2 linked regions of the Caenorhabditis elegans genome follow. Changing the gene in region 1 together with any one later gene gives a genetic interaction. Each region holds a gene or a part of one and is shown on either strand. Other genes may lie near its edges.

Evidence for each region. Genes that interact genetically often act in the same process or in processes that back each other up.
Region 2: of col-184 (region 1) and efl-1, changing one enhances a phenotype caused by changing the other (phenotypic enhancement), as found in Caenorhabditis elegans (one large-scale study listed by BioGRID).

Annotation. Positions count from the first base shown.
Region 1 is NC_003284.9:13,467,691-13,470,910, reverse strand, and holds col-184 (Nematode cuticle collagen N-terminal domain-containing protein), read right to left. Parts: upstream 1,457-3,220; coding exon 1,307-1,456; intron 1,261-1,306; coding exon 535-1,260; 3' UTR 502-534; downstream 1-501. Other genes in the region: col-183 (Nematode cuticle collagen N-terminal domain-containing protein), read left to right, coding at 3,175-3,220.
Region 2 is NC_003283.11:16,959,640-16,967,605, forward strand, and holds the start of efl-1 (E2F/DP family winged-helix DNA-binding domain-containing protein), read right to left. Parts: upstream 6,037-7,966; 5' UTR 6,035-6,036; coding exon 5,887-6,034; intron 5,841-5,886; coding exon 5,710-5,840; intron 5,663-5,709; coding exon 5,553-5,662; intron 4,895-5,552; coding exon 4,744-4,894; intron 3,956-4,743; coding exon 3,812-3,955; intron 759-3,811; coding exon 524-758; intron 1-523. Other genes in the region: fbxa-90 (F-box domain-containing protein), read left to right, coding at 7,275-7,345, 7,393-7,966.

The DNA.
Region 1 (3,220 bases):
TAAATGCCACTGAGATGTATTATTTGTGTTTCATATCAATCATTTCGTATAACTGTTTTTTCAGCATGCTTGATTAGCCGTTTACGAACGAAAACAGTTTTATTTTACAGTACGATATACTTTCTCACCAGAAAAAAAACATTTGCATTGCTTTTAGAAAAATATGATTTTGAAACACCGTTCGATATATTTCTGCAAATCTTCTCATTTCCGCAAAAAAATCTGATTTACTTAAAGTGTTTAAAGGAATTTAAAACTTTATCATACCAACCCAACTCAACTTTAAACCCGTTCCAATCTTTCACTGTTCCTCGAACGTTTTAAAACGCTCGTTCTTATCATCCATCCATGAAAAAAGACATTACACTTTCCAATCGTTCCTTATCATCTCTTTGTTAGATCACACTGATCTTCCCTTTGTAATGTTATTTTTTCATTTCATTTCGATGACACAACCCCCTCACTTTCCCTGAAACCAGTTTGCCAAACAAGAACACTAAATGAATGATAAATTGTTTATTGGATTTGACCATTTCAGGCCTCGAACATGGTTCTTCCTGGGCATGCGCAATATCCGGCATCGTCTCCTGGAGCACCATCGGCACCTGGTTCTCCTGGAGTACCATCCTCTCCTGGCTCTCCTGGAACTCCTGGTTGTCCACCAAATCCACGATCTCCTGGAGCTCCGTTCTTTCCTGGAGTTCCTGGGGCTCCCTTTGGTCCTTCTGGTCCGCATGGTCCGACATCTCCTGGTTTTCCTGGTACTCCGGCGGAGTGGCGAGTTCCGCGTGGTCCGGCTGGTCCGGCTGGTCCATGTGGTCCAACTGGTCCGTCTTTTCCTTCTGGCCCAGCTGGTCCGGCTGGTCCTGGTCTTCCTGGTTGTCCTGGATGTCCGTTTGGTCCTGGTGGTCCATTTGGTCCTCGGACTCCTGGCTCTCCATCTGGTCCAGGTGGTCCAGCCTCTCCTCCTGGGCATGGAATGCAATCAGCCTCTGCGGCGTGAACATATGTGAGAGATTTTCCGTCGACTCCTGGCTTTCCATCAACTCCTGGAGCTCCTGGAAGTCCTGGCGCTCCTTGTGGTCCACGAGCTCCTGGTGGCCCGTCTGGGCATCCTTGAGACTGAAGTCCGCAGTGGCATTGGCTGTTGTCACGCTTGTGACGTCCGAAAAGAGTCTTGAAGTTTGGTGGGGCAGCGGTCTCGCCAGTTGGGTTGACGTGAAGGGAGAGGATGCGAGACCATGTCTCATCGGACTTCATCTGGAAATAATATTCATTGGTTATATACAATCTATTCAGATTAAACCTTGAAATCATTCATTCCATCGGTAATCTCTAATTGCAAATTATTCAAGTCCGAGATAATATTTCCAACGGAAATGAGCAACATGCCAGTGGCAACAATTGATGCAGCACTTGTGACTGCAACCGCGTACGACATCTGAAACAAATTCATTATTGAGAAAACAATTAAACAAAAATCGCAAACCTTCAACGAAGAGTTAACCGAACGGTCGACGAATAACCTTGTATCATCATTGTCCTTTTATAGGAAATCCAAGGGGTTTGGTCACACTGGTCTTATCAATTTGAGAGAGAAAGGCTGGATTCTGTTGAAAAAAAGTTTGAAGGATTGTAACTTTCTCTGGTCTACTCTCTATCTCTTCTGTTATCAGTTCCTTGTTTCCAGAATTGCGCAATAAGAAAATAAAAAAGTTTGATGAAGACAACGCAGTTACTGTTCTTGACGTGGTTGCGATGCAATTAAGATACAACTTTCTCTTTAAACCTTTGGAAACGGAACAGACGAATAAGAAATTGAGAGAAGGGAAGACGTGTTAGACTGATTACTCAACTAAATCTTACTGCCATACTTCGAATAATCGCTGTAGCTTTAGTAGAAGCGTTGCATGAATAACTAATTGTTATTTGTACTAGCTTTGTACTAACTTTGCAGCAGCAATTTTTTTAAAGTATAGATATTTCAGATACAACACATTTTAGAGATATTGCTACAGACAACGTAATGATTGCGCAAAAAAAAACAATGACCCTTGTTTGTCCCAAAAAGTAATGTTTTAACAGTCTCAGCTTCCACAAGCCTGGAGCATTCAAATTTTCGTTGAAAATTTGTCATGTGAATTGCAAATATTACGACAAGGAACCCTTATCGTCGAAACTTTTTGACAACTACCGGAAGATTTGGAGCTAGAAGGTAGAACTTTGAAGAAAACAAAATGTGATGAACAAAATGAAGTAGTTGTTTAAAAAGCGTTCAGTAAATCAAGAAAATGTGAAAAATGGTCAACTAATAAAAAAAACATTTACATATGATCTGAAATCCCAAAAAAAGTTAATTGTACGTTTTCAAAGTCGTTTAAATTTTATATCCGTTTTTGTACTCTAAAATTTGAAAATGAATCCATAAAAATATATTTTGTAAAATTGCAGTATTAAACTCAAACCTAAATTCTTTTGAAGTTGCCTTGATTGTGAAAGGTCTTATTAAAAATTCTAAAACCTTCGGAAGTCATATTGTAAAATCAGAATTGAGAATGTTTTGGAATTGTTTATGTCAAGGGGTAAAAAAATAATCATAACCAAAATTTTAAGGTGTTTTTGGAAAGTTTTTCCTGAAATTACATAGGAAAATTTGTATTTGCATACGGGAGTTTGTTTAAAAAATGCTTTAATAACTGTGTTCTGAATGAAGAGAGTTTGGCAAAACCCATCAAATTTGCATAGATCCACTAAATTTCTTACTAGTTTCAATTTATAAAAAAATGAATAACCTTTGTTTGCGAATCTTTATTGATTTTAACAATTCAATTTTCATTCTTCTTAAAATAACTAGTTTATACTGAAAATACTGATTCCACTTGAACTTCCATGTAAAATTATACGAAACATGACTAAGATAACACAAACACGAATCAGAACCGCTAACCAATTGGTAACAATTACAGAAACCACAGGAAAATGACAATAATGTATGTGGAACCAAATGTCTCTTGCAACGCCACTGTATGAACAGAAGAGAAGGGAGGATGGATGCCTGTTGTTCATAACTGGTTCTCGGAATAAACAACAAGTGGAAATGGTATAAAAAGACGAGTCACTGGAGCCATATCATCACATCACTGGTCTGCATTCAGCAACAGCAACCAGTCAACCATGGAGTCTCACGTGGATCTTAAGCTTCGTACCTATCGCTTCATTG
Region 2 (7,966 bases), on another chromosome or scaffold:
AAAATGCGAAAAATAAAATTAAAAAGAAGAGGTAATTTTCCCAAATTTTCCCAGTTTTTCTGTAATTTTTAAAAGAATTTTATGTAATTCAGTTTATGCTTTTTTTTGTGAAAATTTTCTCAAATTTTTTGGCGGATTTCTAGGTTTTCCGGTTTTTTTTTTCAATTTTTTTTGTTAAAAAACAGTTTTGATGTTTTTTTCGCTTAAATTTCAAATTTTCATGTGAAAAAATCTGAGAATTATTTTTCGATTCGAAAAACTCTAGAAAACGGTGCAGAAAACAAAAGGAAAATGTTTTTTATCAGAAAAAGTAAATTTTTTGGATTTTTTAGCTTCGAAAAAACGTCCATAAAAGTCCAGTTTTTTTGGTGTTTTCTTGGAAAAAATGATGATTTTTCCAATTTTTTTTTTCAAAATTCTTCATTTTTAAGCTATTTTTTAGCTACTTTCAGTGAAAAAAATCCATTTTTTCTCAAAATTCTGCTTTAAAAAATAAGCAAAATTTCCAGCAATTCAGCAGCACCTTTCTGCTCAAAACCAAACATTTCATCATCATTGATCGTCCGCCGATTCCGATATCTTGAATCATCCATCATTTCATCTGGAGCATCAGCGTCAACGTGCTCTTCACCAGGCCGTTTTGCTCGTTCTCTCTGTACAAAATCATGTAGCTCATGGTTGGAAACGATGGCGGCTCGGAGGGGTCCAGAGGGATCTTTCAGGTAACACCAAGATGGTCCACCGTGTATCTCGACTTGCTGCAATTTTTTTTATTGGAAAAAATGGGGAAAAAATAAAAATTGAAAATTTTCGATTTTTTGTTGAAAAAAAAAATTTTTTCCGGAATTTTCTAAAATTTATCAAAAATTTTATAAACAATTTTTTTAAAATTTTTATTCTGATTTTTTTTTAATTGTCTTGTTTTTTAGAGCCAAATAGAGCGAAAATTGCGTTTTTTTTTTTGAAAATCTTTTTCAGTTTTTTCAGGAATTTTCTGAAATTTATCGAAAAAAAATTCTGTGAATTTTAAAATCAATTAAAAAAAATTTTTTTTCTGATTTTTAACAAAATATTTTGAAAAAAAACTATTTTTTTTGTATTTTACGACAATTTTATGAAAATCGTCAAATTTCCATTAAAAAACCGCCAAATTGTGCGAAATTTACAAAAAAATTCTGCTTTTGCTGAATTTAAGAAACAAGTGTAATTTTTTCAAAATCTTTTAGAACAAATAATTTGTAAATTTTTAGAATTTATTTTTCGTCGTTTTTCAGCCAAAAATTTATTTTTTAAATACTTTTTTACAAATTTGCATACAAAAAAAGCGAAAACTGAGAAAAAAAAAACACAAAAATTTTTTGTGTAGATTTACGCAGCTTGTGTAGTCCCCGAAGAGAAGTTTTTAGTTTTTTTGGCAGAAATTTCGGTTTTTGGACAGTTTTCTAGGTTTTTATGCATTTCACATAGAAATAATGCTTTTTTTCGATCAAAAATCGACTTTCTGCAATTTTTTTAAAATTTCATTGGAAAAAATGGGGGAAAATAAAAATTGAAAATTTTTTTTTGAAAAAAAAGAAGATTTTTCCGGAATTTTCTAAAATTTATCAAAAATTTTATAAACAATTTTTTTAAAAATTTTTATTCTGATATTTTTTAATTTGTCTTGTTTTTTAGAGCCAAATAGAGCGAAAATTGCGTTTTTTTTTGAAAATCTTTTTCAGTTTTTTCAGGAATTTTTTGAAATTTATCAAAAAAAATTCTATGAATTTTTTAATAATTTTTGTTCGGATTTTTTACAAAATTTTGTGTTTTTAACAAAATATTTTGAAAAAAAGTCTATTTTTTTGTATTTTACGACAGTTTTACGAAAATCGTCAAATTTACAACAAAAAAAAAATGAAAACTCGCCAAATTTTGGGAAATTTACAAAAAAATTCTGCTTTTTTTTTGGAAAAAAAGAGCATTTTTTTCCTTTTTTTTTTTTCTAAAAATTGAAAATGTTTCTTCTTTTTTTTACGTTTTTATTTAATTTTTTCGTTTTATCAATTTTTTATCCAAAAAAAAAATTATTTGTGTAGATTTACGCAGCTCGTGTACTCCCCGAGGAGAGGCTTTTACACTTTTTCAGCAGAAAATCAAATTTTTTGAAGAATGTTCGTTATTTTTGCTAAAAATCAGGGAAATTTAAGAAACAAGTGTGATTTAAAAAAAATTTTTTAGAACAAATGATTTGTAAATTGTTTAAAATTATTTTTCGTCGTTCTTCAGCCAAAAAAAAATTTTTGTTGATATTTTTTACAAATTTGCATACAAAAAAAAAAGCGAAAATTGAGAAAAAAAACAGGAAAATATTGTGTAGATTTACGCAGCTCGTAGTCCCCGAGGACAAGCTTTTACACTTTTTTGACAGAAGATTCAGTTTTTGGGCAGTCTTCTATTACGGGAACAATATATCATGAGAATGCGTACTTGGTGCATTTTATTTGACGCGCGATATCTCTTAGCGAAAACTACAGTAAGAACTCAAATAACAATAGATATTTAAGCATTTACTGTATGTAGTTTTCGCTAAGAGATATCGCGCGTCAAATAAAATGCACCAAGTACGCATTCTCATGATTTATTGTTCCCGTAATAGGTTTTTATGCATTTCACATAGAAATAATGCTTTTTTTCGATCAAAAATCGACTTGCTGCAATTTTAATTTCATTGGAAAAAATGGGGGAAAATAAAAATTGAAAATGTTCGATTTTTTTTTTGAAAAAAAAGAAGATTTTTCCGAAATTTTCTAAAATTTATCAAAAATTTTATAAACAATTTTTTTAAAATTTTTATTCTGATTTTTGTTTAATTGTCTTGTTTTTTAGAGCCAAATAGAGCGAAAATTGCGTTTTTTTTTTTGAAAATCTTTTTCAGTTTTTTCAGGAATTTTCTGAAATTTATCGAAAAAAATTCTGTGAATTTTAAAATCAATTAAAAAAAATTTTTTTTCTGATTTTTAACAAAATATTTCGAAAAAAAGTCTATTTTTTTGTATTTTACGACAGTTTTACGAAAATCGTCAAATTTACAACAAAAAAAAAATGAAAACTCGCCAAATTTTGGGAAATTTACAAAAAAAAATTCTGCTTTTTTTTGGAAAAAGGAGCTTTTTTTTTCTTTTTTTTTTCTAAAAATTGAAAAAGTTTCTTCTTTTTTTTTAACATTTTTATTTAATTTTTTCGTTTTATCAATTTTTAGCTGAAAAAAATTATTTGTGTAGATTTACGCAGCCCGTGTACTCCCCGAGGGGAGGCTTTTACACTTTTTTTAGCAGAAAATCAAATTTTTTGAAGAATTTTCGTTATTTTTGCTAAAAATCAGGGAAATTTAAGAATTTTTAAAAAATTTTTAGAACAAATAATTTGTATTTAAATATTGTTTAAAATTATGTTTCACCGTTTTTCAGCCAAAAATTTATTTTTTTGATATTTTTTTTACAAATTTGCATACAAAAAACACAGAAAAATATTGCGTAGATTTACGCAGCTCGTGTACTCCACGAGGAGAAGTTTTTACACTTTTTTGACAGAAATTTCGGTTTTTGGACAGTCTTCTAGTTTTTTATGTATTTTAAATTAAAAAATTCATTTTTCTCATCGAAAATTCTTAAAAAGAATTAATTTTGAGCAAAAATCAGCGTTTTTTTCAGTTAAAATCGGGTTTTGTACCCGTTTTTTCCAAGAAAAATATGAATTTTCCACAATTTTCCAGGTTTTTCCATTAAATTTTCATTGAAAATTCCAATTTTCGCGTCATTTTCTTCTCTACCTCCGGATCACTGAGCCGAACTTGTGTGCCGACTCTCGTTTGAATTCCAATCGTAAGATCTGAGCCTTGAATCTCGGCGAGCTGTGAACGGAGCACATAGCTGAGCTTGTTGTTCTCCACGGATTCTGTCATGTTTCGGAGGCTCTGAAATTTGAGAATTTCAGCGGTTTTGGCTTAAAACTGTCGAAAAATTGACCAAAAATTTCAAAAAAAAATTGTGGAAAATTTGGCTCAGATTGCCTGAAATTTCCTATAAATTTTCAGAAAAATTGTCCGCAATTTTAATGAATTTTTGACCATTTTTCAGCGAATTTTCCAGAAGTTTTGACTGAATTTTTAAGAAATTTTCTGCCAAATTTCAGCAGTTTTGGACCAATTTCAAGCAATTTTTAGCCGAAATTTCCAGAATTTATTTTACAAAATTTTCATCATTTTGGCACCATTTTTATCTTGATTTTCTCGAAATTTCATCCATATTTTTTTCAGAAAATTGGAGGAAATTTTGGCAAAATTTCAGCAGTTTTCAACGATTTTCAGACTAATTTTTCAGGAAGTTAAGTCAAATTTTCAGCTTTTTTCAGCGATTTTCAGCCCCATTATTTCTAAATTTCGGCTCAATTTTTAATGATGTTCAGCCATATTTTTCCAGAATTTTCGACTGAATTTTTCTATTTTTTTCAGGACTTTTTGGTTAAATTTTTTCCAATTTCCAGCCTTATTTCCAGTGATTTTTGCTCAATTTTCTATCAAAATTAGCCAGTTTTTGCTCAATTTTGATCAAATTTTTAGCGACTTTCAGCAAATAATTCTCAATTTTCGGCTGAATTTTTCTGAAATTTTTGGTCATTTTTCAGCCAATTTTTGCGTAAATTTGGCTCAATTTTCATCGATTTTCAGCAAATTTTTCATCAAATTTTCTGGAAATTCGCTACCTGCTGAAGCCATCTTTGACGTTGCTCAATGAGCTCTTCTTCCTTATTTAATTGCTCAATTTCAGCTTTTAATTGTTCCATTCGATCTTCTTCTTCTGTTGTGGCCGATTGTCGTTTCCCTTCCTTCACGTTTAGCATAAAATCACCGCCTCTGAAAACAAAAAATTGAGTTTTCCGGGGAAAAATGTGCAAAAAAGCGGTTTTTGAGCCGGAAAATAGAGATTTTCACCGAAATTGGAGCGAAATTGAGGCTATTATAGAAAAATTGGCTTTGAAAATGTAATTTTGTGTTAAAAATGACCTTTTCTTGTGTTTTCTGGCTGAAAACCCGATTTTCCACGTAAAAATCTGAAATTTTCAGCAATTTTCATGTTTTTAAGCTGAAAAATAAGGATTTTGCCACAAAATTGAGCTTTGAATTGAAAATTTAACTTTAAAAAGTGATTTTGTGTCAAAAATGAAATTTTCATATGAAAATTCGATTTGTTTCGGTGAAAAATCTCAAAAATTAGTGTTTTAGAAATCGAATTTATCGATTTTTACAGGAAATAGGAGCTATATTCCAAAAAATGTGATTTTCATCCATTTTGCCGGAAAGCGCCATTTTTTGGCTGAAAATGCGATTTTTCACGTAAAAATCTGAAATTTTCCGAAATTTCTTGCATTTTAAGCTTTTTGAGCTGAAAAATCAATATTTTGACACAAAATTGATTTTTTTTCTAAACATGTCATTTTTCTTGTTAAAATACGATTTTCCGCCGATTCATTGAAAAACGTCATTTTTCCTGCTGAAAATTCGACTTTCTTACTTCCACTGTATCATATTCTTGCTTCTTTTCTCAATAAGACCAATTCCTTCGAGAACATTCGTAATATCGTAGATTCGTCGCTTTTGCCGGACATTGAGCGCCTCGGCGGCCTAAAAAATACGAAAATTGCGAAATTCACGATTTTTTTCAAAAATACAGTGTTCAAATCGCATCTTCCATACGGTGAGTACTGAATCATTCGAATAAATCGTTTCGCCAACAATCCCAACGATTTATCGGCTCGTGTGCCCATTTGTGGTTGATCCAGGTCCTCATCCTCGTCGAAATCTGGAAATTTCGGGGTTTTCGGCTTAAAATTCGACAAATATTGTACCAAAATCAAAGTCAAGCTCATTGTCGAGCCCGAGCATCAAATTGTTCTTTATCGAGCTCTGTTTGGTCATTTCCAGCGCTTTTTGAAGCTCCATGTCAGATAATTGGCGGAAGCCGGGGTCTTCCATGTCGTTGTACGAGTCTTCCATGGCTGAAATGCGGAATTTTAGTTGAAAAATCCGATTTTTTGGTTAAAAATGAGCTGAAAAACGAGAAAAATCAAGAAAAAACGAGAAAAACCAAGAGAAATCAATTTGAATTCCCCTCCAAAATGCGAGAAATGATGAGGTTTCGTCACGGATTAGAGACAATGGGAAAGGTGGAGACGCAGACGAGAAAGGTGCAGTGGAGCGCGCTTGCACTCAAATTTCCGCGGGAAAAAGTTTCGCTTGAATGAGAAGATAAAAATGAAAGAAGTACGTGGTTTTTTGAATGTATAATAAGGGGAAATTTGAATTTGAAGACAAAAAAAGTTAGAACCCAAAAAAATTGGGCCCCGTTAGGTATTTGGCGGCAAAACCGTAAATTCAGATAAAATGGGGTTATTCAAGTAGTGTCGTGAAATTAACCATCACTTTTTTTTAGCCATCACTTTTTTGTTTTTGTGGGCTCAAATCAGTTTTAACAAAAATTGAATTTGTAAAATTTCGCCTCCTTTGGTATTTTCACGTGGTGTCAGGCTGTCCCATGCCGGTTTGATCTACAAAAAGATTGTGACGTCACCACGTTATTAAAGGTGGAGTAGCGTCAGTGGGGAAAGTGTTAAAAACTACTCCAATAGTGTAAAAAAGATCAAATATCATAATAAAACTTCAAAAAAAAATTTTTGGCAATTTACCAAAATTTTGAATACGAGCTTTTGAGGAAATTTAAAGAAATGTCGCATGTTTCGACCCCTACAATGTTTTAATACGAATACACATGAACTGTTTGAAAAATGGCAAAAATAATTGAAAATCTTCGATATTACCGTTTTGCCATCGCCAAATACATAAGAAGGTCTAACTAATAGTTAGGCTTAGGCTCAAAAATTTGGCCTAAAATTAGTCTCAGGCTTAGCCGCAGGTCTTAGCTTTCTGTTTAAAATTTCGATGACTGCTACGTAAATTTCGTATGCGACTCCTGAAATTTCTGGAAGTAAGACAGTGAAAAGCCTGTCTGAATACACATGGTTTCAAACTAAGACTACATTTTATTTAAAGCCAAGGGTTCAAGCTGTGCCTACATTTTACAGGTTCAAGTTGGCGGCCAGTTCTGAAACACCTTCGGTGTCTGATTCTCATACTCTCTAGTCAGCTGGTGCGCCTGCGTCTCTGCGCTGTCCAACTAGGCCACTAGTCACAGAGAACTGTGTTGAAATCACTTCATTTTTTCTTCAAATTTCTCAAAATGTCATCACTCTCCGACTTGCCAATCGAACTTATTGAACAAATTTTGAATAATCTGGAAGCTTTGGAAAGGTGAGTTTTCCTTGTTTTTTTAAAGAAAAAAAGCATTGAAAATTCAGGCTAATCGCTCGAAAAGTGTCCTACAGCTTCCGAGCAATAATCGATAACCTCGGTCCAAATCTGAAGACGGTTCATGTAAATTTTCATGAAAAATTTTCAAGACTAATTCTCGATGAGAACTACGGCGGGGTTACCTATGAGCAAGTTGATGGAGCCTGCCAAGTTGAATATAAGAACAGTGGCCGAGTACATGCTGGAAGGAACCACGTTGAAATGTTGATGGAGGACTTGAAGAGCTTGGTGAAGTACCCTGAAGTTGATGAATTTCTGATACAGCTGGCTACCAACAATTTTAATGAAAGAAAAATCATTTTAAAGGCAATTGAGTCATTTTTCGAATCCTTAAACTTCAAGTTAAAAGCGAAAAAAGTGATTATCGATGACTTCACCGCCCGTGAAGTTTCTGAAATACTTCAGAAGTTCGAACCTGAAATTCTCGAAGAAATAACTCTCCAAGCTCAATTCCTAAAGTACTATGAGCCGATAAATGGCGTTGTGGAACTCGAGCAATGGAAGAAAGCTAAAATTCTGAACAACCGGTCCAAGTTTCTGATCCCTATTAAGCATATTGTA